4 linked regions of the Struthio camelus genome follow. The protein of the gene in region 1 interacts with the protein of each later gene in a pairwise test. Links are inferred from orthologs where the notes say so. Each region holds a gene or a part of one and is shown on either strand. Other genes may lie near its edges. The genes, in order: TNFAIP1, ZMYND19, ARMC7 and POLR1C.

Region 1 (7,019 bases):
GTGCTTATAAAATTTTTCCAGTTGTTAATGTCAGTTTTTTGTAGCCCCTATGCTTTCATACCAGACAGGCAGGGAGATGTTAACTACCATGGAAAATATCTGCATGATGCTGACAGAAAATTATTGTTTATACTGTAAAAGTAGGAAGGAAGGGAGCTGGTTTTTCATGCATTGTACAGGGCAGGGTATGTTACAAGCCAGTAATTAATTGCGCAGTACCTTCATCTTCTCACTTTCAGCAGCTTTTGCTAGTTGATCAACAAGTTCAATTAAGCTACCCACTATTTTTTGAAATTCTACTACTTCTGCAAAGAAAAAAAAAAAGTCAAGTAATATCCATCAAAATAACACCAAATAAGACTAATATGTGTACTATAGGCTTTGAATTTCAGCCGTGACTTCTTAGTCCTTTCAGTTTACTGTAAATAGGTGCACTTTAAGATTTTCCTTCACAACAGGTAGGATATAAAAGGGGAACAAAAAAGAGAGAAGCCCATAAACGTTAACGGGATTCATCACCGTCCTTTACGCCACGGAGTCCGCTTCCTTAATTTTTTCGTCACTTCAAGGCATTTTTCCGATCCGTCTATTCAAGGAATGGTTATTCGAAGCTGCGGAGCCCCCGCACGGCCCCGCTAAGCGACACCTGCTAACAAACCGCTCCCGAGGGGCCGCGCGGGCTCTCGGGCGCGGCGCGGCGCCCCGGCGGAGCGGCACTTACTGTCCACGAAGGCGCCGCACTCCTCGCGGAGCTGCGCCGTCTGCTCGGCCACGCCGGGCTCCAGCACGCGAAGCTTGTTCAGCTCGTCGAAATGCAGCCCGGCTTGCCCCAGGGCGTCGCGGGCCATGCCGCCCCCGCTGCCGCTCCCAGGCGCGCTCCGCAGCAAGCCGGCACCGCAGCGAGCGCCTTCCCCGCCGGCGGCCCGTCCCGTCCCTCCCGCCGCCCCCGTCACCTGGCAGCGCCCCTCCGCACCGCGGCTGCCACGGCGACAGGGGGGACGGTACTGCAGTCGCGGGGCCCTACCCGGCACGCCGGGAGCTGTAGTCCCAGCCTCCCGCCGAGCCCGCGGCACGTCGGGAGCTGTAGTCCCGGCGGCGGGGAGCGTTTCCGGGTTGCCGGCGCGCGGAGGAAATGAGCTCAGCCGAGGGGCCGCGGGGGGGTGAGCGCTCGAGGCGGCGGGTCCGCGGGGGAGGGCACGGCGGAGCCGGGAGGCGCGGGGGGCGGCGGCGGCGGCGGCCGGAGGCCTGGCGCGGCGGGGCTGAGCCTGCGGGCGCGGGAGCGCGGCGCTGCCGGCCGAGCGGGGCTGAGGAAGAGTGCGGTCAGGTATCGTCCCAGCATCCCGGTGGGCGGTGAGAGACGGCTAGGGGAGAACTCCTGCTCACATGAGTATTTAGCTTCTAGGGTGACCTTGTTATTTGCCTTGCCAGATGTAAAACTGAGACCCCGAGAGGAAACATTCTGCCGCTGTGGTGCTGTCGCCCTTGCTGACCAAGGAATAGAGGCCAGGTGCGTGGACTCGAGTAATTCAGCACCCGGAAACTTTGTCTCTGGAAACGTTGCCCTCCATCTGTATGTGAAACTTCGGGGCACGCAGGAAACCTCCTTTTTCTCCGCTGTTCTGACACTGACGTGCTCATGCCACCTTCCTTTCTGACTCCACTAAACCTTCTCTATCCATAACCTTTCTTGTGCTGCTCAGCTCTGTGCAGACTTCAGCAAGGATCGGGGTCATGCTTCTGTCCCATCATGATGGGCTTGGCAGAGCCTGGGAGTGTCCAAAACTACTAAGACCATTTTGTCTAGTCCAGAAATTAGACAGAAAGTGTGCCACTTTAGAAGTGATTCTGTTCAAGTTTTTTTTTTCTCCTCTTGAGCTGTTAACGTTATTTCTTTTTATGGAAGTCCTCAACTGGGACCATTTCCTGATAGGGTGTCTGAACTGCCGTGTTATTGTTCTGCAGTTCTCCATCTGCTTCCCACAAAAGGCAGGAAGGAAAGGACGTAGAAAATTTTCTCTTGCGTTAATGGGTGTAATTAAAGGTCAAATTACTGTTTGCAGCAAAAGCCTCCTAGCTTGCTAGTTAATAAACATGTTACAGTAATAGTATTTGCTCCTACTTGGATAGGCTGGATAGAGAATTTTGCTATCCATTAGAAAGACATTAAAGAGCTCTGTTTGGGTCTGGAGTTATTTCTTTTGTTGCATGATCAATCTGGCTATCTTTAAAAACATGCTTTTGTTTTAAAGAGAGATCGCTATGGGCTAAAACAAGACAGGACATCTGTAACAAATTTGTAGAAATAGAGGTATAACTTAGGTCTACCAAAGGTCTTAACTGAAACAATAAGTATAGTTGCTTCTAGTCTTGATTTACTTATTTGTAAAAGATTATAGTAAACACCTATGTCTAGTAAGGAGGAATTGTGTTATGTGCAATGTGTTTGGAGAAGTTCTGGTCAATTTCTCCATAGCTTTTAGCTCTTCTGGGTAATAAACTTCTTATAGCACCATAATCGCATGCACAGTTTTTGTTTGTTGCTGGCTGCTTACCAGTTTGAAATTACTTTTCTAGCCTAGTTCATTTGTAACATGCAGTTGCCTTTGACTTATATTTGTCAATGGACGACTTGTCTAAAATGATGTGCTCAGAAAAAAAAATTGGCTTGTTCAGATGTAGAAGTAAATTTACTATTGTGTTCTAGGATGATTAGTTGAAAGTAAAGAGTGTTGACAGCTAGTGGGAGTTCCAGCATTTATAGACAAACTGATCTCTCTTGGCACTAAAATTGTTAACATTGGTTTGTGTCTTTGTGACCTGCAAAGTTTTTGTATTGTTTGTTGTTTAATAGATCTTTTTTGTAGTGCTTCCTTAATTAGAATAACATTATGTTAGATATCGTTCTAAGTTCAGTAGCTATTCAAATCTCTGGCAATTTTAAGATACCATCTGTAGCTGCTAAGTAATTTGCTGCACCAGATGGATGGAGAGATGTGGGTTTTTTCCATGCTGAAAGCTGAGGTGGGGTGAGAAGGAAGAGGGATGTGGGAAGAATAGCAATACAGTTAACAGGTTATTATATTTATTTATAAAAGGTCACTCATGTACCACGGGCACAGAACAGAGAAGCGAACAGACGCTTGTAGTCTGAAATAGATAAACAGACAAAAGCATAGTGAGAGGGGAAAAGCCAGCAAAATGTTTCTGAGGCCAACAGTTATTAAAAGAAGGCTAGCTGAGAAACCCGTACTTGTACTTTTCCAGTTAAAGAACCTGAGATCTGGCCTGTTAAACTGAGTTTTGTTCTCCTTTTGTTTGTTTGTTTGTTTCCATTCTAAGCTTCTCTTGGATGGAAAGATAAGTATAGTGAGACTGGGGAGAGGAAGGAAGTTGTGAATGTCTTAGCTGGCTTTTCCGTGAGGCAAATATTCCAAAGACTGGACGTATTTTTTAAATAGAAAAATTAGTATTATATTGACTGCTTGGCATTCCAGGACAGAGGAAAAAGAGTTTTGAATGAAGGATGTACCAGGAAATAGAGCATTATGGCCCAGCATTTTAGTGTCGAGGCACTTGAAAGAGAGGCAGCTGAAACCTCTGTAAATGTCTCCAGTTAAAAAAAAAATTCATATAAACCCCAGCTGGAGACATTGCAGAAAGCTCTTCCATTGTGTTTTAGATTTGCACAAGAAAAAGTTACATTATTTTGGGAAGTTGGGAGGGAGCCAAATTCTAACTATTATTTAAACTTGTACAGGATTGGATGGTGATTGTTATATTGACTGAGGACTAAACAAAAGGAAGTCCAGAAAAGTTTTACTTGCCTCGCTAACAGTAATGCAGCCATAACTTAACAGTATGGTGCTGAACAATCATTATATTGCTGTGTAAGTTGTTTGAAAAACACTTACGTCTTGTTTTGTCAGAATTTGTGCAGATGTGTCCTTAAGAATCTACTGAATACATTTCTTCTTTAATGTGGGTTTCCTGTTTTTGTTTTAAATGGTAATTCCAGGCTTCTGTATTGATCTTTATACGTTTCTGTTTCAAGGGTCCAGTGGGTTACGACTGTTTTTGCCTTGCACTCCTCATCTCGTGACTTGTGACTCTTCACCAATCACGGCGGAATCCATCAAGCCCACGCTCTGCAGGGTTGTCATCTATCTACAGAAGGAGATGTCAGGGGACACATGTCTAACCACCCTTTGTCCAGCTGCAGGATCCAAGCCCAAAACTAGCAACTTCAAAGGGGGCAACCTTGGTAACAAATATGTGCGACTAAATGTTGGGGGTTCCTTATATTATACTACGGTTCAAGTACTGACCAGGCATGACACAATGTTGAAGGCTATGTTCAGTGGCAGAATGGAAGTGCTCACAGACAAGGAAGGTAAGGGGAATGTCTTTTGATGTGGAGAATTTTGTAAAACAATAGTTTTTGTAGACTATGCTGAGTGAAGGGTATAAGGAAAAACGTATTCGGAAAGTAATTTGGAACATTAGGCACCCAGCTCCCATTGGCTCTAGCAAGCCTCCGTGCCTTATGAAAATGTGCTCTTTTGTTACTAAAATTAACTAGAGGAGGGACTAGTTCTCTTTGCTACAATCCCAGCTGGTACACAGATTGCTGACGTTATCAAGACTGAACATACGGCACATGGGTTGTCATTTATTGGGTGATATATAGTGGTGTCAATCAAAACTGGGGGTGGGGGGACATTCAGTTTTCATCTTTCAAACTCAACAGCCTTGCTTGCTATGTTGAGGATTCTGGGTTTTTTTCCCCTCCTAATAGTATGTTCCACTTGTTGCTGACAATACATATCCATGTTGTGACAGTATTTAGTCACCAGTCAAGTATTATGTCGCCTCATGCTGGACATTGATTCCTGGCATTATAAAAATAAAAATCCATAATAAATTATAGAGAACAGAACAAGTAAGAAGACTGATGTCAGCAATGCCTATGAATGCTTCTGTTTTCCTCTCTTTACTATCCCATAGCAAAATGATACCTTAGGAATGAGGCTTGTAGCACTGTGGAGAAGAGATTGAGAGAGGATGGCAAGTATTTAACCTCTTGGTGTTTCAGAATATTCATCTGTGAAAGCTCTTCCACATGCTGAGACTGCATCAATTTAAACTTGATGCATAACAGTGTTTTTACTTAAACTGACACAACTTCTTTGTGTGCATATCACTTAAACCAAATTCCTCTTGAGTACGCTGGTTTGTATATGACTAAATCAGTTTAGCCCAGCAATTTTGTGTAAGAGCCTTAGCCTGAAGAGAGGACAGGGTTAGTGTTCTGACAGCCACAGCTGGAGAATCTAGTAGTGGTTTAGTCTACTTTTCTTATAATGTCCTCTGCACCTGGGTCCCCAAATACCATTTTTTTCCTGCCTTCCACATTATGGAAGAGAGTTTGTCACTGTACTAAGTCCTCTGCTTGCGTGTGTCCTGCATTGCTATTGTTTGCCAGCAAGTCAGACATCCTGTTTCCTAGTCAATGTGCCCTCAGGGATGTTTTAGAATCAGAAAAACGTTCATCTACTACTCCTTCCTGTGCTGCTTCCACTTTCCACTCTCTCCTGATCTGTCTGTGTTCTTTACTCGTATTCGGAGACCGGAACAGTGTTTTTCCCACACTGTGTTTTCTGGGCTATTCTATGTTTTGGCATCCCTGGAATACTTTTCTTTTTGTTAACTCTGAACAACAGTAGAAGATGGTTGGGAGGCTGACAAATTTTTCTAGGTAGGCCACAGAACTTAGCCCCAATTCACTTGTTGCAAATATTTGCAAATTCCTTCTTATACTTTTCCCTTAGCTTTCTTAGTAATAGATTTCTAAGTTTCAAGTGCCCAGCATTACACTGCAGCAGCACTTGATACATTTATTCCCATACAAACACAGCAAAACCCTATTTTGCTGGGAATATGGCAAGCCTCTAAATGAAACAAGCAGCTTGCCTAACAATAAGCTTTTTTTTAAGGTTTGAATTGCTCGGTCAGTCAGTCAAATAGAACTCTAAAAATGCAAACTGGTGATTTCTTATAGTAGTTAAGAAGATCCATTCCTAATAAATAAAGGATCAAACACAGAAAATGATTTTAGTCAGGCAGCACATGGACTGATCAGTAGATACAGTGCAGCCAGGTTCCTGCAGGGATTTTAATGTCTCTTGAGAGAAAGCTGGGTATTTTTAGTTTTTTTTTCTAACTGTGTTTTTCTTTTGGGGTGCTGAAAAGTAGATTTCCAAAGAATAGAAAAGAAGCAGAAAAGAGTAGAGAAGTCTTCCAAAAGTACATTTCCAAAGAGGAAAGTAGATCGCCAGAAGAGCAATTCCCCTGTCATTTTCTGTTCTGTAACCAACTTCAATTTGCTCAAAGTCAGTAAAGACTTTCACTGAATGAAATGGGAAACAGATCATACGCAGTTTCAGGGAAGTTTCAGTAGGCTTCTTATCAGCTTATGAAACTTGAATGCAGTTTCCATGTTTAACCTCTCTGAAAAGCTGTTGTTTGCCTCCCACTGTTGAGGTGATTGAAATGTTGTGATGGTTACTTTTCAGGCTGGATCCTTATAGACCGTTGTGGGAAGCACTTTGGAACAATTTTAAACTATCTCCGAGATGACACAATTGCGCTTCCAAAACACAGACAGGAGATCAAAGAGTTGATGGCAGAAGCCAAATATTATCTTATTCAGGGCTTAGTAGACATGTGCCAAGCAGCCCTGCAGGTAAGAAATAGAAGTAGCCTGTAGTTATTGGCAGGCGTTTTGCTTATAAATATGACTTAGGATGACTTCAAAGAGTGTTTCATGGTCTTAGATGTACATCAAGTCTTAGGCGCACAAGGTAGCCTGGAAAGAAAATGAGACAGCAGTGAGATAAGTTGTTAAGATCTTATCAAGTACATTTATCAAAGCCGTGGTTTTCCTTGCTGTATGTGGACACTCGAGATTCTGTGATGCTTTGTGTAAGAGAGATTTAGTTTATGCTCTCACAGGAAATGTT
Region 2 (6,941 bases), on another chromosome or scaffold:
TCCAGCACACACCATATTTTCTACAAAATTAAACTCAGGTCTCATCATGAAGAACATATCTAAAAGGAGCAGACTAACAGCTCATTAGATTAGTCAGGAATACTTACCTCTTACTACTGATTAAGTCAACCTCTGAATGTTAACTGGGAGCTACAAAGGATATCAAGCAATGATTCTTAGAATACAGAAAATAGGAAGTAGCAGCTGAGACAAAGTACCTTCAGCGCTGTTTCATGTAGCTTTCCAGAAGGCTGAACAAAAACCTCCAAAGTTTTAAGTTAGAGGTTCTATCTCTCCAGTGCTCTGCCAATTCTCACTGGTGCCAGTAAGTTATGTGCTTATCACAGGACAAACGGAACACAAAAGGTTAGTCTTCATCCATTAATTTAGATGGAACACCCCCGGGCACACAAGTTTTGGTAGCAATTCTCAGATTTCAACAGTGTCCGCACAAATTATACTCACCTATCACTGTTTTCCCTGGGAATAACATTTTTACAGAGACTCAACTGTTTAAATGACCAGTGCAAAACAAAACTATAATAAGATCTAATGGCACCCACTGTGCTGGGTTCCCAGATGAGTATAGCTGCAAGCCTCCTGAGAAGACTCAAAATACTACAAGCAGAGAAATAAACAACATACAAGTTGCAGGCAGCAAATTGCACCTTAGTGAACCCTTGAAGTTACCTACCAAAGTAGCTCATGTAGCAGGCGGCCAGACCCCCTTCCACGATTTTTGTCAAATGCATAAGCAAATATTTTAGCACCATTTCCATCAGCATCTACCTCCATCCGAGCCTAGAGAAAAGGGAAGACTGTGACTGAGGGCGCCCAACACAGAGTGGCAGAGCACATGCCTTTTGGGATATACAAAAGACCAACATTTACTATTTGGCTCCTACAGACGTAGGAAACCCACCATATAAGATATAGGTCACTTGATCTTAATGGAATTTCACTTGTCTGAAACCTCCAACAGAGAGAAAACAGCTCTGCTATTGTAGCTTATGAAGATGCAAGGCAAAAGGAAGAAAGAAGGCTTTGCACAGCAGGAGTTCCACTTGGACAAAGAACAACAACAATCCAGTTGTTAGCCTGTAGGGCCAGGATCCATTCTCTGCTCTGGCATAGATTTTATGTACAGCCATCAGCAAGTCACCAAGGCTTTGTTTCCAGTATTGCTTTACACCAATCTAATTAGGGGTTGCTAGTGAAAGGAGTGGTCCTGCCCTCTTTTCTCCACTCAGCTCCATAACCTTGTGCAGGCACTAACGCTCTTGCTGTTCCCTGGTACAGTTCACCGTGCAAGCTAGCATACTCTCCACCTCCCCTTAAAATATATATATAGTTTTCAGCCAGATGTTTTTCTCTGATCCAACCCCTGTGGAGTCACACAAGCAGTAGCGTAGCAGAAACACAGATGGGGGAAGAGCGAGTCCCCTCCTTTCAGGGGCAGCGTGGATTTTTGAGTGTTCTGAACCCCCTGTGAAATGAGACCAAGTCCTTGCATGTCCAGCTTCATTTCCCTCCTCTACCACACAAATGAATTACTACAGAGGAGGAAAGAGCAAATACGGTCTTTCTTGATTGGAGCATCACCACAGCACTTAGACACCTAACAGTAACTCTGCAGCACCCACTGTGCTAGGTGCTACGCAAAAAAACGGTCCCCACTCCAAAAACGTGTTAGTTATAGAAGATTTTGCAATGAAGAATTCTTTCTCTTTGTAAGTCTGTAAGGCAGAATCAGCTTACCCTCTTGAAGCATATCTTAAGAGAAAAGTTTTTTCGTTCCATATTAAGCTAACTAAGAGATGTTTTGCCAGTGCAAGACTATGTGCAAAGTGAAGTGTTTTTAAAGTTTTACAAACCAAATAAGGGGAGACAGATTGTGAAAGTTTTCAAAAAATATATACAAGCAGAAGGCTGAAAACAAAAGCTATATAACAAATTAATTTGTTTTAATGCTTGTTTACAAATGAAGGAACGGAACACTTCCCATTTGAAAGCGTTCACACTGTTGTTTCAATATTTTCAAACTTATTTTTTTCCCCCAAAGTAGGAAAGTTATTGCTCGCCAGCGTGATTCCACAAGCAGTTTTATTTAGGCATGTCAAAACAGGAAAAAAAAAACTCACTGACACATTGCAACTACTTCCACCCCCAGGAATACCGCGAACCGCTCTCGCAGCGGAGACCTCGGAGGAGCTGCTGGACCCAAGGGACAGAGCAAAGGGGTATCGCCACCCCCACAAGCTAACGGGGGAGAAAGCAGAGGCCTTGCTGATAGTCTGATCGCACGCACTGAAAAAAGGGAGCCGGTATCGCGATTTAGAGAGAAAAAAAAGAAAGAAAAATAAGAAAAAAAAAAAAGAAACAGCCCCTAAAACCAAGCCCTAAGACAGCATACGATGGGGGAGGGGAAAGGGGGGGCCGGGAACGGAGGGAGAGAAAGTCATGGGGCAGGAGGCGGGCACCGGGGAGGGGGGACCGGGGGCCTCTCCGCCTCACCTCGAAGGAGTAGCTCTCCACCAGCGGGATGTCCTGCTCGTCGATCAGCGTGTACTTGGTCTGAAACACAGAGCGCAGCGGCCGCCGTCAGCCCAGCGGGGCCCCCGCGGCGGCGGCGGCGGCACCGGCGCCCGCCGGGCAGCGCGACACCGGCCGCCGCTGCCCGCGCCTCCCGCCCCGGGGCCGGGCTCGGCGGGCACAGCGCGGCCGGGGGGTGTGGGGAGAAGAGGGGAGCCGCCCGCGCCCCCGCCGCCGCCCCGCGGGCAGCCGCTCCGCCCGGCGCGGCCCGCAGCGCCCGGCCGCGCCCCCCGCGCCCTCAGGCCCCGGCCGCCGCGCGCTCACCTTGCCGGCCACCCGGCCGAGCCGCACGATCCCCAGCTTGAAGTCGGTCATGGCCGGGCCGGGCCGGGCGCCGCCTGCGCTCGCCCCTCGGAGCCCGCGAGCGGGAGCGGAGCCGCCGCCGCCGCTGCCACGCGCCGCCGCCTCGCGCACACCCGGGCTGGGGAGGGGGGGAGGGGGCGGGGCAGCGCACCACCTCCCACCCGCCGCCGCCCGGCCAATGGCAACCCGCGCCCCTGGCGCGTCGCCCCTACTACGCCGCCGGCGCACCCAATCGCCGGGCGGCGCGCGCGCGGGGTCACGTGGGGGCGGGCGCGCGGCCCGGCGCGGCGCGCGCGGGCTCGCGCGCGGGCTCGGCCCCGAGGGGGCGGGGGAGGGAGGCGCGGGCGCTGACGTCACGTTCGCGGGAAGCTTTGTGCCGCCAACACGGGGAGAGCGCGAGCGGTGGGGGCTGGGCTTAAAGGGGCCGCTCGGGCGGGAGGGCCCCGCCCGGCCGGGGGAGGGTCTGGGGCGCCGGGCCGGGCCGGGCCGGGCCGGGCCGGGCCGGGCCGGGCCGAGGCGCGTTGCTGGGACCGTCCGGTGGCTCTGCCCGTGTTGGGCTTGGAAGCGTTCGGTGCTTCCCGTGGCCACGCGGCTACGAGGAAGGCGCTGGCGCCCGGGAAGGGCAGGGCCGGCTGGGGAGCCCCTCCGTGGTGGCGAAGGTCACCCCGGCTGGTGGCCTGAGGTGGCGGTGGGCTGCGCCGGCCGCTTCTGGGCCTTCGGAGGCGGCGGCTGGGCGGCCCTGCTCGGCTGAGACCTGCCGGAGAAGGTGGAGCAGGGCCGGGCGCCCGTGTCCCGGGAGCTGGATGCGGACCCTGCTGCGTTATAAAAGAGATTCACTCTGTGTTGGGATGTGCTGTAATTAATAAGCTGCGCCCTGCAGGCGGGACGCGGGGCCGGTCCTGCCCGGGCTGGGGAAAGAGCCGGATGATCTGCCTTGCTGCAAACGTACAGCTTCGGCGAGGATGTTCTCAGACGCCTTGTGCTGCCGCAGGGTTTGATCGGTGGCTCCGTCCGCCAAAACGACGCGCCGTGCTGGCGGGTGCGGGGTGGTGGGGCTCGTTTCCAGGTCTAGTCGTGACGAACGTCTAGATGAGGGCGAAGAGCTCGCTCCTCGTTTCACAAAAGTCAGGGGAACGGATTTGCAGAGCGTCCGCTGCCCAAGACTCTGCAGTCACAGCTAAGAGCACTGGAAACCACCTTGTTTCCTTGATTGACGTGTGGGCGTTTTCGGCAGCCTGCAGGAACGTTTGGAAGATGTCACGGTCGAAGAGGGGCTTCAAATTGCATATAAATGGATAAAGCAGCCAAGGAGGACGGATCGCTGTCCTTGCCCAATTACCTGGGAAATCACTAGGGCAGAATAGGACAACTGTGCCCCGAAGAACGTGAGCAGCAGGGAAAAGATGTGTTTAAAACGGTGAAAGGAGCATCTAAAGGAGACAGACGTTAAAATATTTAAAATCTAAAGAAGAAGCTTGGAAAACTTTCCTTAAAAACTTTCATTTCTGCGACGGAGCAATCCCATGGAGGAGACATAAACCCCAGCTGCTTCAGGCTCTCATGCCGGACCAGGGAAATTAGACACCGCGGTTTGGAGCAGCCCTTCAGCAGCCAGCAGACCCCGTGGGATCCAGGAAATGCCTAATTCTGCAGGTGCTGCTCCGTGCAGTTGGGGCACGAACCTGACCGCGTTCGTCAGGGCAGCTAGTCGGATAAGGAAACCTTCGTAAGCTGCTAAGCAAAAGTCTTTTTGGCTAATGAGAAAGTCAAGCAAATAGTTGAATCGGGAGCAGAGTATCTATGCAGTGAAAAGAATGCCTTGCTCTTGCAAGAGTCCTTGAGGGAGAAAGATAAATCAAACCTCCGAGAAAGGCAAAGTAGCTGGAAACGTGCAATAAATCCATTAATATACACCCAGGTTTATCAAGGGCATTGCTTCATTTTTGATGACTGTGGCTTTTGATGATTGTGGCCTGCTTTTTAAAAGAGAAAAACAGCAAAGAAGAGTGTATGATACTGCTGATGCCAGGAACAAGTTGTTCGGTGCGGGGGGACTTTGCTCGGGATGTGAAGGGCTTCGCTTCCCCATGGCACCTGCTCTTTTGCTTGGCCCTAGAAACACGCCAAATAAGAATCGGGTCGTTCCCAGCTGGGAAGGGACGGGGAGAAGAAGAGATTGTCCAGGCTAGAGAGAAAATCAGACTAACGCTGGCGGCAAATACCTGCCGGTGACAGGTGTTTGCATTTGCTTTGGGGTGGTCAATGGACTGCAGCCCCGAGATGCTGACGGTACCTGAAGCCTGGGTGCCTCGCCGAGGGCGGCCGGCGCCGGGAGCCCTGGAACGCGCCGGCCGTCACAAAGCGGTGCCGTGAGGTCGCCCCAGGCGAGGGGCTCCCACCGGCGGCCGGCACGTGCCGCGGAGCGGGGCCGCAATGGACTACCGCCAGAAAGTAACCAAGCACATGGCCAGCTACTACATGAACGGCTACCAGCACTGGAAGCCACCGTTCTTCTGCCAGCTTTTCCAGCACCGCTGGTAATTTTGGGCTGTGCGTGGGGATGCGAGGGGGGATGCTTTCCAGCAACGCCCGACTCCTGGAAACCCAAAACCGCCTGTGCATCAGGCGACAAAGAGCACGGACCAGGGAGCAGCCGCCTTGCCCAACTCCACATCTCACTTCCCACTCCCGGTGCGAGGGAGCTCCCAACCCGCCGCCAGAGCCGGGTGCTGCCATCCGCAGCGCGGCCGTGCCGTTCCCCTGGTCCCGTTCACCTGGGGGCGACGCAGCCCAGCCCGGGGCAGTTGCCTTTGACGTCGCCCAAGCTGTCCCTCGCCCTCCGATAGGAACCTGCTGCCCGTGACGGTTGTGCTCTGCCCGCGGCTGCGGCCGGAGCCCGAGGCTTCGACCTGCCGCGTCTGCCTGGATCGTGTGAAGCAGCTGAGCAAGAGGCACTGCCTGCTCCTCTGCGTGGAGGCCCGCAGCGGAGGTGAGTCATGGGTGCACGAGCCCGGCCAGCACCCCGGGCACCCTGCCACCTGATTCCCGGCTGGGGCTCCTGCCGGCCAGCAGCCTCCTCCTTTCTCGTAGGCCGGCGAAAGCTCACTTTGCCATCGCGACTTTCCTTCCCCTTCTGGCACCCTCTGCACCTCCCATGCCCGTCGCGCAGTCCCCTGCCCTTGGGGGACGTGGCAGAAGGGCACGACGTCCCTGAGGTCGCGGGCAGTGTGGGCGGCAGCAGGCGATGGATGGAGACCACCTCGCCTGCCACGTGGAGATCAGGGCATCTTCCCCCAGCACCGGGGTCTTCTGCTGGAGGCGGGCTTGGGTCAACCCCCCGTTCTCAGGGACAGACACAAAACCTGACGCTGCGGGTCGAGCGGCTGCAGTGTCCTCGCGATTGTCTCTGGCTCATGGGTGAGACAGAGCGGTCGGCACCGTCACAAGCAGCTGCTGCTTTAGGGCACCTGGCTGGCAAAGGCACGTTTCTGGTATTGGGAGCTGAGGGGAAGCTGGGCTCTGCTCCCAAACCACGTTAGCCAAAAGCTGCTCAGAAGAAGACAAGCCCCCATGCTGCAGAGCGGCCTGCGACACCAAGACACCGGCGGGGGTCTGGCAGGGCCAGGGGCCCCGCGCCTGCCCCGTATCGCTGCTCTGTGCCCTTCCTCCAGACCGCCGAGCCCCTGCGTGGAGCCAGCCGTCCCCCCGCGTTGATGGTGACAGCCCCGGGCCTGCTGCCGACCTCTCGCCCAGCACCTGGTGCCGTGAGGACACCGCTGCAGCCCAGAGCCGAGCAGGAGAGACCCTTCTGCCAGGTACGCGAGGTGTCCATCTCCCCCAGAACGGCCCCACGGTGCCAAAAGCAGCGATTTGCCCCGTTTGGAAGCAGCAGAGCTGTGAGGACGCTCCACTGCGAGCGGTTCGTACCCCGGTGTGCCGCTCGCAGGCTCAGCAAGGAGCGACGGGTCCTGCCCTCGCGTGAGCACCCTGCCAGCAGCTCCCACCCGCTGGGCAATGCTGGACGTGACCCTCCTTTCCCTTGTCTC
Region 3 (7,814 bases), on another chromosome or scaffold:
CAAACCTGTCCCAGCTATTACAAATAGCAACTCTCAAATTTTATATTCTGTTCACCCGTTCACATACCCTTTACACTTCCTTCCAGATATTGGGGGGGGAGGGGGGGCACATTGCCCCACATCTGCCCTTTCCTACAACTGTCCTGAGCACAACAAGCAAGATATGGCTTGAATTGCAACCCATCACAACGTATCGCGGAAGAATAAAGCTTCGTGGAAGAAGCACTAGAACGCACCCCCCATCCGGAGCCAACGGCTGCGTCTGCAGGGCTGACCCGTTGCTGCAGATCAGTTCCTCCTATACCACGGCAACAGCATCGCCGGTTTGACTGTTTCTCAGCTGGCACAATAGTGCCAAGTAACTTAGGAGGGAAAGTGAGGCGAGCGCTTTCTAGAACAGGTTTTTGATACCCCCAGACTCAGAGCCAGGGTCTCTGGGACTTATGTTCATAGGCAGAGAGATGTTTCTGGGAGGAGAAACACCTAGTTTACAAATCCGCAGTTTTCACTTTTTTCCCCTCTGGCGGCCTAAAAAACGTCTAGCAGCCTTCCAGAACGTAAGCTGACTGAAACCAGGGTTGTCTCCCCTAGCTACTTTTCAGGGACCGTTTAGAAGTAATCCACATACCATGGCTTGAACACAACTCTCGGAGACGTAACAGGTACCGTTTCAGGCGGTGTTTCCACAGGTAAATAAGGCGACTGAACAGCTTGCTGCTGCCAAAAGGGGGAAAGCTACCTCCCTGCTCTCCTGGGCTACAGCTCTCCTCTCCTACCTCTGTCTTTAGCCTGAATTGCAAGCCGCCTCGAGCAGCAGCTTTGAAGGGGCCGTGCATACTGAGCGTGCTACGGTATAATAAGCATTCCCTCTCAGAGCTATAGCACAGAAATATTAACACCCCATGCTTAAGAATCATGAGGCCCACAGGAAACAAAAAGGAATAAAAGTTCCTTGCCATAGTTTAAGGTACTCCCATTATGCAAGGCAACCACACCTTAATTACTGCCACCCCCCTAAAGCAGTTTTCCCCAACACTTACAGACAGTAAAATAATATGGGCTTTTGCTAGGGACAAACACCAAAACCTCAGCCAGGTTAGAAACCTCTGAGAACGGGCAGAGCAAGAAGAATAGCCCAGAAATAAACATCCCTCTCCCAGTCCCCACCGACCCCTCCCTGCTGCCTTTGCTCATAAAAGCAGTCTCCTTCACTTTACAAGCTAAGCATTTTTGCAACAGGCACCTTTCCTTATCGCAAGGAAACGTTCACCAGCAAGTTCACGCTGAAATAGTTCAAGACTGGGATCTTTATACATCTCAGATACTTAGCCAGCATCAGTCTTAGGGAAGCGTGATGAAAACAAGGAAGAGTCCTGGTCAGCTTACGCACTGCAATGCGCCTCAGAGCACAAAACTGCTTAGCTGAAGAGCTTGTCACACTGCTGGAAGACTTTGCTAGTAATGGCTAAATAACTGCTAGAAATGAAAACTTACTGTGTTCTAGCTTTGTCATGCCATCAGGTGGGAGCTGCCGTCCCTGGAAAGAAGGGCCCGGGAGGCTGCGAACACCTCACTTTCATTAGTTCATTCACTGCTAAGTCTCCCGGCAAACAGCAGGGGCTGGAAGCATTCAGACCATTTAGCGTTATAGCCGATAGTGCCTGAGCAAACAGCCAGAGGAAGAGCATTACACACTCACCTCAGCCCCTTCTGCCAGCTGCCAAGTGATCTTTTCGGAGCATCCGGACAAACTCTCGGCAGCGAAGCAGCACCAAGACAACAAGCACGCAGCCCATAACGAAGCACGCCACCTTAACAGTACTAGCGTGCTCTGCAACCCGGCAGTAACGCCTACAGAAAAGCTCTGAGGACTGCAAAGCCAGGCAACTTGATCCAACTCTCCTCCAGGAGGCAGCTCCACCACATCAACTTAAATGCAGCCTGTTCCGCCCAGCTCTTAATCAGCTGTGATTAAACTCAAAGAGAGACAAAGGCTCCAGGGAGCAGAGCTAGTCATTCTCAGAAAGACAGCCAGAGGTGCGCCTCTGCTCCCGATGACGTCTTGCCACACACCAAAGAGCGTGCCCTGGAGAGTACCTTTTTCAGGGATGCCTCACCTGAAAACTCAGCCAGCATAGACAAAAGCCTGCTCTAAACACTACTCTCTCTCTGAAACCACGCTGGGCGACCGAGGTCCTCCTGCTTCTAGGCGTGCAAAATCGAACTGACTGACCACATCCACAGGGCTGGTGAATATAAGGCATTTCATCCTTCCTCTGGAAAAACTCCATTTTGCACTCCCCCCCCCCCAGTCAATCCCAGAGTCCTCAAGCCCTTGTCTTTACGCTAGCTAGTTCCCCTCTACTTGCTTTCTCTTCTCCTCCTGCTTGCCCACAGCAGTCATTCGCCTCGTATGTAATGACACGTGTGGCTTTAAAGGATGGCAACACTGAGGCACTTGCAAAAGCCTCCGCTAGAAAAGATTGGCTATGACATGAGCAAACCACGCTAGCCTAGCAATAGGTTGTAGTACTGAACGCTTGCCTGAGCATTTGCAGACATGCATAGACATACACACACGCTCCAACTGACACCGCGTAGAACAGCTGAAGTTGCCAGCACAGGACAGGCCTAAACATTCACATCAGGTAGAAATACCGTCGCTGGGCCGGGGGGGGGGGGGCAGCCGCACCTCGCCGAGGGCAGCAGACAGGGCCGGGGCACCGAGCAGAATGGGAGTGATGAGGGGCAGCGAGAGGAGAAGGTGCTGGGGGGGGGCAGGTGCGTGTGGCACAGCATGCTGCAGGTTTTATCACACAGTGGCCCAAAAACATTTGGCTGCAAAATAATTCTTAACTCAGGAAGCCATAGACAGTCTTTTCCCACATCACGCTTTTTCTGAATACCAATAAGCATACAGAAAAGGAGTGAGGTCCCTGCTGTTGTAAAACTTCATGGTTCTCCAGCCCTTCTACACTTTGCAACAGCTGCTCGCTGTTGCGCCTTTCAGTAGCACGTGTTAGAGCTCCTAAAAGCTTGTCCAGCCCACAGAGAAGCGGTCAAAAAGCTTACCCTAGGCCATGGTCCCCTCTGGAGGACACTTAGCCCCTTGTTTACAGAGCTCCGGTGTTTCGTGCGCTGATAGATCATCTCAATGCATTCATCTATGCTTATTAGGTTAAGCTGAAAACCAATCAAGGAACAAATGTTAAAAGATCTATGCATTTAACCGAGGGGAGGAAGTCTCTCTTGGGACACTCAGTCAAGAAACAGGGAACTAGGTGCAGAGGAAAAGAATTACCGCCTCCGCCAACCCTGCACGCTTGGCACGAGCAGTGACGTTGGAGAGCTGGGAACTCAGCTGTCTGTTCAGAAACCAACATGCTTTATTCATTGTCTACAAGATGGGGAGTTTGTCCCTTTGAACCTTCAGTCACCTGACGCTCTCCACAATTCAAAGTGCGCTTATACCAACTGATGGTATCTGTTTGAGGTCAAGGAAATATCTGGAGAGGAAAAGTCCCCGTTTGTGACTTCTGTTCCAAACCAACACGTGCTTCCGTTCGGAAAGCACAGCTCCGCGTTTCCCCAGACTGGGAGCGGCGACACAGACGCGCAGGGAGCTTGTGAAGAACGTTGTCTCAACACATTGCATTGCAAGAGGGATCAGCATGTGCTCCGCACCTGCCTGGCACGCGGGCCGCCCGGGATCGGCCCAGGAGCCACCCGCAGCAGCACCCATCGTGCCCCTCTGCCCCGGATCCTGCCTCGCGCCACTTCTCACGCCCCACTTCTGCCATCGCACCCCCAGCCCCATGGCACCCTGCAGCCACGTCTCAACTCCCGCTGCTTATTACCATAAGGCAATGAACCGAGACCTTTATCTCCTCCTGCTCTTCTCCCTGCTGCAGCAGTCGGCCCCGTGTTCTTGCCCGCCTGTATTCCCCGTATGGCCCGTGGTGGACACACGTCCCCGGGGGATGCTGAGATGGAGTCGGAAGCGGATCGCTCTAACTGGTTCATCATTTGCTGCGCTCGCTTGCCAAGAAGCCGGTCGGCATCGTCACGGCCTGGGGGAACGGTCCAGCGTTTAACACTCAACAGCACTTATTACAGCTAACTGTGGAGAACCTGGAAGGACACGGAAACGAGCAGGGCGGAAAACCGTAAGTCTGGGAGCAGACAGCGAGCAGCTGAGGGAAGCGCGGGTCCCTTCCAGGACGCAGAAAGGAGCTTCCAAGACTGAGCGTCGCGGGCGGGAGGGCCGGGGCCGGGGCCGAGCGGCGGCTCGTCGCCGGTCTGGCTGCCATGGAGGACGGTCCCCTCGGGCTGCCGCCCGGAGCCCAGGGCAGGAGCCGCTCCCGCCACCCCGCCGTCGGGCCGGGCCGGGCCGGGCCGAGCCGAGCCGAGCGGCAGCCGCCGCCGCCGCCGAGGGCGCGATCCCCGCCAGAGCGGCTGCCCCCCGCCGCCGCCGCAGCCGCCGCTCGGCCCCGGGCACCGCTCCCGCCGCCGCCGCCGCCGCCGGAGGGCGCCAACGGCCGCCGGGGGGGCGCCAACGGCCGCCGCGCCTCGCGCCCGAGCTCGCCGCCGCCGCCGCCGCCGGGGCGCGCGCAGGGGCGGGGGGGAGGCGGGGCGCGTCGCTTCCTGTCGCCGCCGCCGCCCGCTCCCTCCCGTCGCCCCTCCCGGTCAGGCGGCGAAGCAGCGCGGCTCGGCGCAACCCGGCCCAGCCCGCGGCCCCCTCCGGCCCCTCTGTCCCTGCAGTGGCGCCAGGCAGAGGCGACCCCTTCGCCCCGCCCGGGGAGCGGCGCGGCGCGGCGCGGCGGCCATGTTGCGGCGGGCCGGGGCTGCGGGCGGCCGGTTGCGCTGAGGCGCGGGCGCCGCCGCCGCCGCTCTCCCCGCGCTGAGGGCTCCCGGCGGCGGCGGCCGCCCGGGCGGCATGGAGCTGGGCCGGCTGGAGTACCTGCAGGCCCTGGTCACCGAGTTCCAGGCCACCGACAGCCCAGGTGACGCCCCGGCGGCAGCGGGCGGCGGACAGCTCGCTCGGGACCGCCGAGCGCCGCCGCTCCGCCTTCACCTGCCGCTTCTCCCCCCTTGCAGACGCCAAGGAGCAGGTGCTGGCCAACCTGGCCAACTTCGCCTACGACCCCCACAACTACGAGCACCTCCGGCAGCTGCAGGTGCTGGATCTGTTCCTTGACGCGCTGGCCGAGGACAGCGAGAGCCTGGTGGAGTTCGCGATCGGTAAGGACGGCGGCGGGGCCAGGGCTGCCGGCTCGGCCCGGCCCGGCCCGGCCCCTCGGAAGCTCAAGCAACATGTGGCTGCTTGTGCTGCTTGGGGTGCTGCAAGGGACCGGGCTGCAGCCCTAAAGCCTTGTTTAGAGGGGAGCGAACGGCAGCTTCCCCCCCCCCCCACCACCCCACCCCGAAGTTCAGTATAGTTGCAGCACTTAAAAAAAAGATTGTTTTCTGTAAAGCAGGTTTTTTTATGCTAGAAGAAAACACTGGCTGAATGACTTCTTACCCAAATCTCTCCTATACGGAGACGGTCACTGAGAGGGAATTTGTGCCCTGCGTAAGGCACAGATGCAGTGTTTCCACCCTAGTGCTGACAGCCAGTCTGCCAGAACGCTTGTCGGGAGTAATCCGGCGAGCCCTCCGAGGAGTCCCTGACACCGAGTCATCGTGCCCTGCATACAGGGAACGGGGCCGGATCCTCACTGGGAGTGACTCCGTGAGACGTTAAATACGCTCTGTTTTTAAGGTTTGTTGACTGAGCTACACCAGGATATGCCTGCACCTTAAAGTCTCAAGTACTAATATTGTAGGCCTCTCGACTAATATTAGTCTCTCTGTTCTCTGGTTTTGTAAAACATCTGCCATATACTGCTGGATTGTAGCCACGTCTAGGGTCAAGTGATAAAGGTATTTTTCATTCTGTGGAAGACGTTATGTCCAGAGGCACAGTGCCCTCTAATGACATACTGGAGAAGGAGTGTTCTAGTGGAAAATCTCCAGGAAGAATCAAGAAAACTTAGCGCAGGAGCACTTAGCACTTTTCCATCCAGATCTCACAGCCAATCTGGCTGCTTATTTCCGTACTGGAAAACGGGGATCAGCAAAATTGGCATCACTGCGCAATTGCATTTAGGTAAATAATTTCCATTACGACACTGAGTTAGAAAAAAGAGGTTATTTAAGATGATTAAAATCCCATTTTGTAATTCTCAACATCTTTAAGATTTAGCACGTTTACCTCTTATTGCTCAGGAGAAATATTTTTCTGTGTCAGTTTATAAAAAGAAGGAAAGATGAAGTTGGCACAATTGTTTAAACAAAAATAAGGAGAGGAAACGTGAAATGTGTACCAAGTTATGTGCATTACAGAGATTTAATTGTGGTAGTTTCAACTGTAAGAAAGAGTAAAGGTTCCTAGTTGTAGCAGTGGACTTAAATCTTCGAAAAAGGTGAGGGAGTAGAGAAGAGCGTCTTGCGTGCATCAGAACGTTCTCTTCTGCTGTGTTTCAGGTGGTCTTTGTAACCTCTGTCTGGATAAAACTAACAAAGACTACATCTTGGAGGCGAATGGGGTAGAGCCCATAATAAACTGCCTGTCCAGCTCCAATGAGGAGACAGTGATGTCGGCAGTCACAACGCTGATGTACCTGACAACGCCGCAGTCGCGCCAGCAGACCACAGCTCTCCCAGTGGTGGAGTGCATGCTTCGCTTCTCTCTCTCGGCCAGCAGAAGGCTAAGCAATCTGGCAACTGTCTTCCTTGAGGATTACTGCACACCTCTCCAAGTGGAAGAGGCCAGGAATCTAAGCAAACACACAGCAGTGGGGATTCCTCTCCCTAAGGACTGAAACTGCCCAGAGCAGCTTGGCGCTCTTACGAGGGAGGTTTCCCTCTTAACATCCCAGCCTTCCAATTTCTGCTCAGCAGGTCAAGAGTGTGCCGAGAGCAACTTTAAACAGGGAAGATGGTCAGACCAGCGCTGGATTTTAGTATTAATACAAAGGAAGGCACAGTGCTACAATGTGAATCAGTCTAGACATGAAACTTAAAAAAATAAAATAAAAAAATAAAACAGGTCATGGCTGTTGGAGAGCGGGCTGCCAAGTGCAGGCCAGCACCCAGCTTGCGCAAATAACCCTTCCCAGCAATTAGCCTTTTCTGCGCAGGTTATTGGGCAGCTTACATCCCCTTTGGTTCCTCACTATACAGAACAGATCATAACTGTGCTACATAACAGGAAGTGGAAAGTTCTATTTCTTTCATTGTCACTGGTGAAAAAGGTGAAGATTTAAAAAAAAAAAATAAGGCTCATGGCAGTCTGGCTCACAAGAACAGCTGTCTTGTAAAACCTACTCTTAATAAAACATTAGCTTAAATGCTGTGTAAACAGTTTTGTATAAGAACATAAATGTTTTTCTGCAGCGCTTGCAACCCAGCCTTCACCTACACTCATTAATGCACGTGGGCCAGAAACTGAAGCCAGCTTGGTCTCCTTTCATTATCAGCCAATGACGCAAAAAGCAACCCAAAAGCCAGGGTGACTAAATACATAAAATTTAAAACGTTTGGCTGTTGGACGCCGTGCTCCCTAAGCAGACACGCTGTGTCTGCTCAAGTTTCACAGCCTTAGTACTTTTTTTTCCCTCCTTTCTGCCCTCCCCCATATGCCCATTCAGCTCAAGATGTGGGAGTGAGCTTAAAAAACACCAAAACAATGTCTTTGGCAGTTTCTACTCATCTACACCAATCAAACACCAGTAACAACTCTACAGAGATTAACTAGTTTAATACAGAGCAAC
Region 4 (7,040 bases), on another chromosome or scaffold:
AAGCAATTCCTCTTCCCCCAGATCTAACAGGCACTCCCTTCCTATCTCCCCTTCTTACCTTCTACTACCTTGTGATAAGCAAAGTGCAGGTAGAGGAGGAAAAGCATATGCAGAGCAGCAAGGGTCCCACACAAGATGAGCCGCTGAGTATGCCCCACGGTACGTGACACTAGCACAGCAACCTAGGAGAGAGGTGGAGATTACAGACAAGGTAGCTGCTACCTCAGCCTTTGGCGTTGCAGTCAGATGCACATAGGCAGATGGGCCAAGTGGTAAGAGCCAACAGAAACTACTCAGAGACTCTTTGGCAGTTTACACCACCAAATTCAAAGTAAACTGACTGTTTCATGTAGGTGAAGCTTGTCCAGCCTTGCCAAGAGTTCAGGATGCTCAGGCAGGACTCTGCACCACAGTAGGGGCTGTAAGGGAGCAGACCTCCTGCAGCCATTAGAATGCGTGAGGACATTAAGCCGAGTGTCACTTCCAGACACCAGCGGCCAAGCAACCCAGAAGTGTCAGGCTGTTGTTCTTAGCAGCCTTACTGGCTTTGATATGAACTGCCTGCCCCAAGAAACAGAAAGCAAATGACATTCTCCTCTTTTTTTTTTTTTTTTTGGTCCCCAAAGCAGGAGGGCTCCCAGCTGCCTGTCCCTTACCATTCGTAGTGTCGAGAGTCCACCAACACCCAGCCAGAAGATATAGAAGAGGGAGTGGAAGTGGATATTATAGGTAACAAAGAGGGTGATGCAGTGTCCAAAGAGGCCATAGCCCTGACAAAACAAAAATACACGTGTTATGAATGACAGTCCCACGTGAAGGGCTACTGGTCAAAACCATGAGTAGGCTACTCCTGCAGCGTTTCATGGAGGCAAAGCTTCACTAATCACTCACTCAACACCCAAGAGTCAATCAGCACACCAAACGTAAAAGCCAGTGTGCTGTGGGAGCAGCTCACATCCAGCTTCTCTGCCTGAAGGAGTCACAGGGATGATAGAAATCACAGCAACTTGGGAAACAGAGAAAAAATCAGCCTCTGTTTCCAGAGAAATTGGAATCTCCTGCTTTTTACCACCATGCTCTCAGATCAGGAAGTCCAAAGCAGATCTGCATGAAGCAACAGCCACTTTGTGCTGTCCTCGTACCTGGGATGGGGCAAGTCAGAAGAACAACTTGGAATTCCAGCCTATCCCCATGCAATAGGACTGCAGTCACCTGGGACCATTAATTGATAAGGAGACTTCCACGTCTCAGGGAAGACCCCCCCACACCACCCTTCTGCTGAAGCACCATGCAGCCAACCTGCATCTTAGCCCCATCCATACATACCAACAGTGACAGCATCTGCACCATCGTGATTTGGGCATTGCACAGATATGCCAGGAAATAGATGAAAGAGGAGACGCCCAACCAGTAACCGAAGCAGGTGCCAATGGCTGTGCCCATCAGTGTGCCTTCCCTCTGCAGAGACAGTGTCAGGGTGAGGAGAGCGCAAAGAACTGACCTGTCAGGACCCAAATTCCACCTCAGAGAGTTCCCAGAGCCTTTGCTAGGCATGACTGAATAGCCAGCCAGCAGCGTCCAGGATGCCACATGGCCTACTGCCCAGCCCTTCCAGCAACACAGCATCAAGATTTTCTGATGCTTGCTTCCTTCCTCCTACCCCCAAATTAACTCTTCCTCAAATCAGTCTGCTTTTCAGCAAGGTGCTGTTCAGTCACGGGAGAGGCTTCCTCTCCCTCTCTAGCCTCATTATGGCAATTCAGATCCCAGTGCAAACCCCAACCTATCGCTGAGACTCGCCGTACAATGATGGTGTCCGAAGTCTTCATCCCATGCAAGAGGATGGCCACCAGCGTGAAAACCAGCATGAGGGGCCCATAGAGCTCGCCTGCAATCTTCTACAGGAGGAGACAGACCAGGGAAGGCTTGGTTAGTGCTCCTGAAGGCCAGACTCCCCACCCCAAGCCATGTGAGAAGTGCCTTGGATGAATTTTGTCACTTAGCCACCTACTGATCTGAGAAGTAACAGTAAGGCCGCTGCTGACAGGAGCCAGGAAAAATAGGTCATGTGATTAAGAGTCAAAGTGGTGTTAAACAGGATGCCAAAACACGATAAGTGAAGTCTGGAGATCTAGAACTGTACCAGCATTAAGGGTAGCAGAAAGGGGTTTAGAAGCATCCTGGGAAAGAGCTTACCAGCATTTTCAGGCAGATGAACAACTAGCAAACTCAGGCCCTTACTAACACGGGCTAATCAAAATCTCCAAGGTGTCTGTGGGACATTCTCTTGAGCCATGGAGTTTGATTCAGCAAAAGGGAACTCACCTGTGGGAAATTAATCATCTTGACGGGAACCATGGACTCTAGCAGTCTGCATCACAGAAAAAACACAGAACGACATCAAAAGCAGGAAAAACAACCAGGTTAACGAGATGCCTCAGCAGTAAAAGATCCCATACCCCAGTCACCAGTATTTTCCTGTTGTGCCTCACAGGCCTTGGTAGACACAGATTCCTTCTGAAGAGTCACAAAAGGTAGCTAAAGAAAACAATCTTATTATCCACAGGCTAACTTTGCCAGGGGGATTTAATGAAAACATACACAGATCCATTCAGGGATGAGGGGACTGCTGCCAGAACAGCAATCCCTAATTTTCTGAGCCACTGAACTCCTTGACCTGAGGCTGGATGAAAAAACATATGTTGATGATATAAAGCCTTCTCCTTCATGACAGCGGGCTAGCCGAGCCTCCTCATGAGTTAGTCCTGGATAAAATCATGCTGTAAAAATATGTACAAACTGTACCCTAGTGCTGGCTCCTTAGGCCTTGGAAGGTTTTAGAAAAGTAATTCTTGCCTCATTCTCTCCAGTCAGGTAAGCTGCTCCCTGAGAAGACACAGAACTGCCTTTCTGAACACAACTGTGTTGCAGGTCCAACAGAAACCACGTGACGGGGCTGGGCAATAAAACGCTAAAGATGCCTCAAAGCCCTTGTTTCAGTCAGAGAAGCTCTGCTGGGCCACAAGTGACATAGCGGCCAGCCCGCCTAGGGAACCTCTTTAAGGACAAGGGGACAAAGCCTAGCGTGTTACCCTGCATCTGGGCACTGCGCAGGGCTGGCAGCCCCACCCGGAGTTGCTTGCCTTGGGGGCAGCCGCTCCCTGGTGAGGAGTCGCTGGTCCCCCCTGAATCCCCCGGGCACTCGCGGCGGAGGCGACGGCCGGGCCACGGCCTTGCCCACCTGGTGCGCACTTGGACAGGCTCCACGTCGAAGTAGGGCCGGAGGATGTCGATGTTGGCGTAGAGGCTGAAGGCCTTCGAGGCCTGCCTCTTCCCCACCTGCCACATCTGCGGAGAGAAGGCAGCGTGCAGCAGCCGGGCCGGGCCCCCGAGGCCGGGGGCGGCCGCGGGCCGGGCGGGGAGCCACGCTCACCTGGTCAGCGACCTGCCGGCCGAGCTGCCCCCGCAGCCCCTTCATGCCCAGGAACTCCCCGTCCTCCTCCTCGGCGGCCGCCGCCTCGCCCTCCGCCTCCTCCTCCTCCTCCTTCATGCGCTGGTGCATCTCCCCCATGTCCTCGAAGCTGGAGCCCGACGTGTCGTCCATGTTCTCCATGTCGATCACGGCGGAGCCGCCGCCCTGCGCGGGGGGCAGAGGCGTCAGTGCCCGCCCGGGCCCCGCTCGGCCTCGGCCTCGCCCCCCGCCCGGCCCGGCCCGGCCCGGCCCGGCCCCACCTGCATGTTGTCCTCGAAGCCGCCCCACTCCGCCGCGCCGCTCCTGCCGCCGCCCGGCGCCGCCGCCCCCGGCGCGGACATCGTGGCCGGGGCCGCCCCGCGCCGCGCTCGCTGCTGGCGGCTCCGCGGGCCCAGCGGGGCTCGCAGGACCCGGATGTGACAGGCTTTCCCCCCTCCCCCCCCAGCACCGGCGGACGTGGAGGCTCCGCCCGCGCTCTCGCGAGATCGCGCTCTCGCCGGCCGGCCGGCAGTGCCGCCATCTTGGGAGTGGCAGAGGAAAGTGGAAGGGGGCAGCAGAGAGGAGCTGAGTAGACGGTGAGGGAGCCTCGCAGAGCATACGGGGGCGTGGGCTGCGCTGTCGCAGCGCCCCCAGGCCGGCCTGCGGCGAGGGAGGGTTGAACGCCCCGCGGCTGAGGCGCCACACCTAGGCGGAGCCAAGTCCTCCCGCCCGGCCGCCGGGGGTGGGGCGGCCCGTCACGTGGCAGAGGGAGTCTAACCCCTCCCTCCCCAGTCCGTCCGGCCGCGCACGCGCTCTGGTAGCGGCGGCGGCGGCAATGGCGGCCAAGCGGGGCACGGAGGAGATGCGGGAGCGCGTGGTGCTGGGCGAGTTCGGGGTCCGCAACGTGAGTTGGGGCGGCGCGGGGCTGCCGGGTGCCCGCCTCGCTCCCGGCGCCGCCGCCGCCCTCACGGGCTCTCTGCCTATCTCCCTCTTCGCAGGTCCACACCACGGACTTCCCCGGCAATTACCCCGGCTACGACGATGCCTGGGATCAGCTGCGCTTCGAGGAGGTGGGCGCTGCCGGCAGGCCGGGGCGGCCGTTGGGCGGCCGTTGGGACGGGGCGGGCTCCGCGGCGGCCGTTGGGGAGGGGGCGCGCGGGGCGGGGAGGGGAGGAACGTTACAGGCTCCGGGCGGTGCGGGCGCGCGCGCGGCGGCGGTTGGTGGAGGCGGGCCCGTGGGGTGACGCGGCGCGTGGCCCGTGCAGGGGTTCCGCGTGGACGTGGTCCGCGAGGAGGACGACGCGCTGGAGTTCGACATGGTGGGCATCGACGCGGCCATCGCCAACGCCTTCCGCCGCATCCTGCTGGCTGAGGTACCGCCGCGGGGAGGGCAAGGCTTGGCGGTGCTCCCCGGCCGGGTTCCCCCCCCCCCCCCAACTCGGGTGGGCCTCGGGGCTGTTAGCATCTTCGTACCACCGGTGGCCCTTGTGGCCCGCCGGTGGGAGCCTGCTGCAGCATCAGTGTTTCTGCAGCAGGGCATGGGGGACAGGGCCCTGCACAGAGCTGCCTGGAAGCAGGCCCTAGCTGCAGAGCAGTCTGTGCGATGGGAGAGGGCGTGTATGTGTATGTCCTGTGGTATCTCAGTCCATCTATACGTATTTTAGAAGAGAAGCAAAAATCCGTTCTGTATGTCAAGGACCTAGAGAGAGTTAGAGCCTTAGTGGCATGAGCAATAGCAATTGTAACCCTTAAGGATGCTGAGGTAGGTTGGTAGGTTGTTGTGGATGTTGGTAGGTTCTGTGGATTGGTCTGCCCTTTACCTCTCTTACTTTTTTTTTTTTTTTTTTTTTAATAAAAGAAGTAAGCTACCGGGATAGAGGGAGAACTCATTCATGTTTGTATTGGGTAGCGCAATTTGATAGAAACACCAGTGAGAAGAGTGTGCGAGCAATTATTTATGGGAGAGAAGAAGTAGTGAAAATAAGCACGTTTTAGTTAGACACTGTTTTGGTGTGTAGTTGGACCGTCACCTTATACTGACTTGATGCGTCCTCTTCTCCTTGAGGTGCCAACGATGGCTGTAGAGAAAGTCTTTGTGTACAACAACACGTCCATCGTGCAGGATGAGATTCTGGCTCATCGCTTGGGACTTATCCCTATCCGAGCTGACCCTCGACTCTTTGAGTACAGAAACCAAGGTGAGAGTCCTGAGTCTCCCTTCAATCAAACCGAAATACTGAAGGTTGCCCCCAAAGTAGGAAACCTGGGATCAGGTAAACTGAGCAGAAGCGTGATTCTGTAGACGCTCGTGCTATTCTCCCCTTTCCAGGAGATGAAGAAGGGACAGAAATTGATACGTTGCAGTTCCAGCTGAAAATAAAATGCAGCCGAAACTCTCAGGCAGCCAGGGAGTCCTCTGACCCCAATGAACTGTACTTCAATCACAAAGGTAAGGTCTTTCCGTGTCCTAAAAACAGATGCTGCTTTTTTTCTTGGGAGACAGGAATTGGTCCATTCTCTCAGTCCTGTGAACAGAGAGAGCTGATTCCCTTATTCTGCTAAACTTTTTACCAGCTCCAGTCCTGTAGCAGTCTGCTTTCTGAGGCAGCAGCTGGCTGATGCTTGTGGCTCCTCTTCACAGTGTACAGTAAACACATGACATGGGTGCCTTTGGGAAATCAGACAGACCTCTTCCCAGATGCTGACTTCCGACCTGTTCATGATGACATCCTTATCGCACAGTTACGACCTGGCCAGGAAATAGATGTGCTTATGCACTGTGTCAAGGGTATAGGTAAGTCACTGGTCCTGAGGGTAGGGGGAGAAGGTGTGGGAGTGCTCGGACTATAGGGCATGGACGGATGTGTGGAGGGGAGAGGTGGAAGGCTGGCTTGCCTCTTTGAACTTTAGGCCCTAGCATCATTACCCTCTTGTTCTGTGAGACCTCTCCTCACCCTTATCTCTTTGTGCAGGTAAAGATCATGCCAAGTTTTCTCCTGTGGCCACAGCTAGTTATCGACTGCTTCCGGACATTACTCTCCTGCAGCCTATTGAGAATGAGGCGGCTGAGTTGTTGCAGAAGTGCTTTTCCCCTGGAGTCATTGAGATCCAGACCATCAAGGGTACTTTATTCACTGCTCTAACGTGTCATGTCCTTATGAGTCTTAGCAAAGAGTTATTGCAGACTAGAGCCAAACCTTGTGGAGACGAAACCACATTGTGATGTTGTCTTGCTGATCAGCAACTGTTTGTGCTGTTCTCAGCCTGGTTTTATGGATGAGTGGCTGTTGCACGCGTATGTGTTTGCTGGTGAACTGAGATCTCCCTGAAATGCTAAGGTATTGTGTGTCTGTCTGTAGAGCCCTGTGGCTGCTTACTGCAGCTTCCAAATACTGCTCAACTGTGTGTCAGACTGGGTAGTGAGCTTGGTCTTTCCAGCAGTTGAATGTGGGGATGACGTGTATCCTGCCCAGGGGTATGTATAAGCTTTGTGTTTAGATTGGAACTGCTCATTTCTATCAGGTTAGAATTTTGTGTTGGAGGTGTGCTAATTCTTTATACTTTGTGGCTTCACTGCCTTTGCTGGTGG

The links.
Region 2: the proteins of TNFAIP1 (region 1) and ZMYND19 interact in binary tests that used the Homo sapiens proteins (3 or more experiments, as listed by UniProt). The two-hybrid records come from large-scale screens. The link is inferred for Struthio camelus from reciprocal best matches to the Homo sapiens genes TNFAIP1 and ZMYND19.
Region 3: the proteins of TNFAIP1 (region 1) and ARMC7 interact in binary tests that used the Homo sapiens proteins (3 or more experiments, as listed by UniProt). The link is inferred for Struthio camelus from reciprocal best matches to the Homo sapiens genes TNFAIP1 and ARMC7.
Region 4: the proteins of TNFAIP1 (region 1) and POLR1C interact in binary tests that used the Homo sapiens proteins (3 or more experiments, as listed by UniProt). The link is inferred for Struthio camelus from reciprocal best matches to the Homo sapiens genes TNFAIP1 and POLR1C.

Annotation. Positions count from the first base shown.
Region 1 is NC_090957.1:21,433,489-21,440,507, forward strand, and holds the start of TNFAIP1 (BTB/POZ domain-containing adapter for CUL3-mediated RhoA degradation protein 2), read left to right. Parts: upstream 1-4,002; coding exon 4,003-4,390; exon of another isoform or gene 4,391-6,572; coding exon 6,573-6,742; exon of another isoform or gene 6,743-6,865; intron 6,866-7,019. Other genes in the region: IFT20 (intraflagellar transport protein 20 homolog), read right to left, coding at 220-305, 722-848. UniProt on the Homo sapiens protein: Substrate-specific adapter of a BCR (BTB-CUL3-RBX1) E3 ubiquitin-protein ligase complex involved in regulation of cytoskeleton structure.
Region 2 is NC_090961.1:12,062,816-12,069,756, forward strand, and holds the start of ZMYND19 (zinc finger MYND domain-containing protein 19), read right to left. Parts: upstream 3,016-6,941; 5' UTR 2,908-3,015; coding exon 2,857-2,907; intron 2,575-2,856; coding exon 2,515-2,574; intron 802-2,514; coding exon 695-801; intron 1-694. UniProt on the Homo sapiens protein: May be involved as a regulatory molecule in GPR24/MCH-R1 signaling.
Region 3 is NC_090960.1:8,164,428-8,172,241, forward strand, and holds ARMC7 (armadillo repeat-containing protein 7), read left to right. Parts: upstream 1-4,814; 5' UTR 4,815-4,936; coding exon 4,937-5,003; intron 5,004-5,097; coding exon 5,098-5,241; intron 5,242-6,525; coding exon 6,526-6,863; 3' UTR 6,864-7,391; downstream 7,392-7,814. UniProt on the Homo sapiens protein: As a component of the minor spliceosome, involved in the splicing of U12-type introns in pre-mRNAs.
Region 4 is NC_090944.1:103,663,120-103,670,159, forward strand, and holds the start of POLR1C (DNA-directed RNA polymerases I and III subunit RPAC1), read left to right. Parts: upstream 1-4,038; 5' UTR 4,039-4,286; coding exon 4,287-4,355; intron 4,356-4,449; coding exon 4,450-4,521; intron 4,522-4,716; coding exon 4,717-4,824; intron 4,825-5,516; coding exon 5,517-5,649; intron 5,650-5,780; coding exon 5,781-5,900; intron 5,901-6,092; coding exon 6,093-6,245; intron 6,246-6,423; coding exon 6,424-6,573; intron 6,574-7,040. Other genes in the region: protein YIPF3, read right to left, coding at 59-182, 657-770, 1,327-1,458, 1,806-1,898, 2,326-2,371, 3,242-3,348, 3,434-3,637, 3,733-3,813. UniProt on the Homo sapiens protein: DNA-dependent RNA polymerase catalyzes the transcription of DNA into RNA using the four ribonucleoside triphosphates as substrates.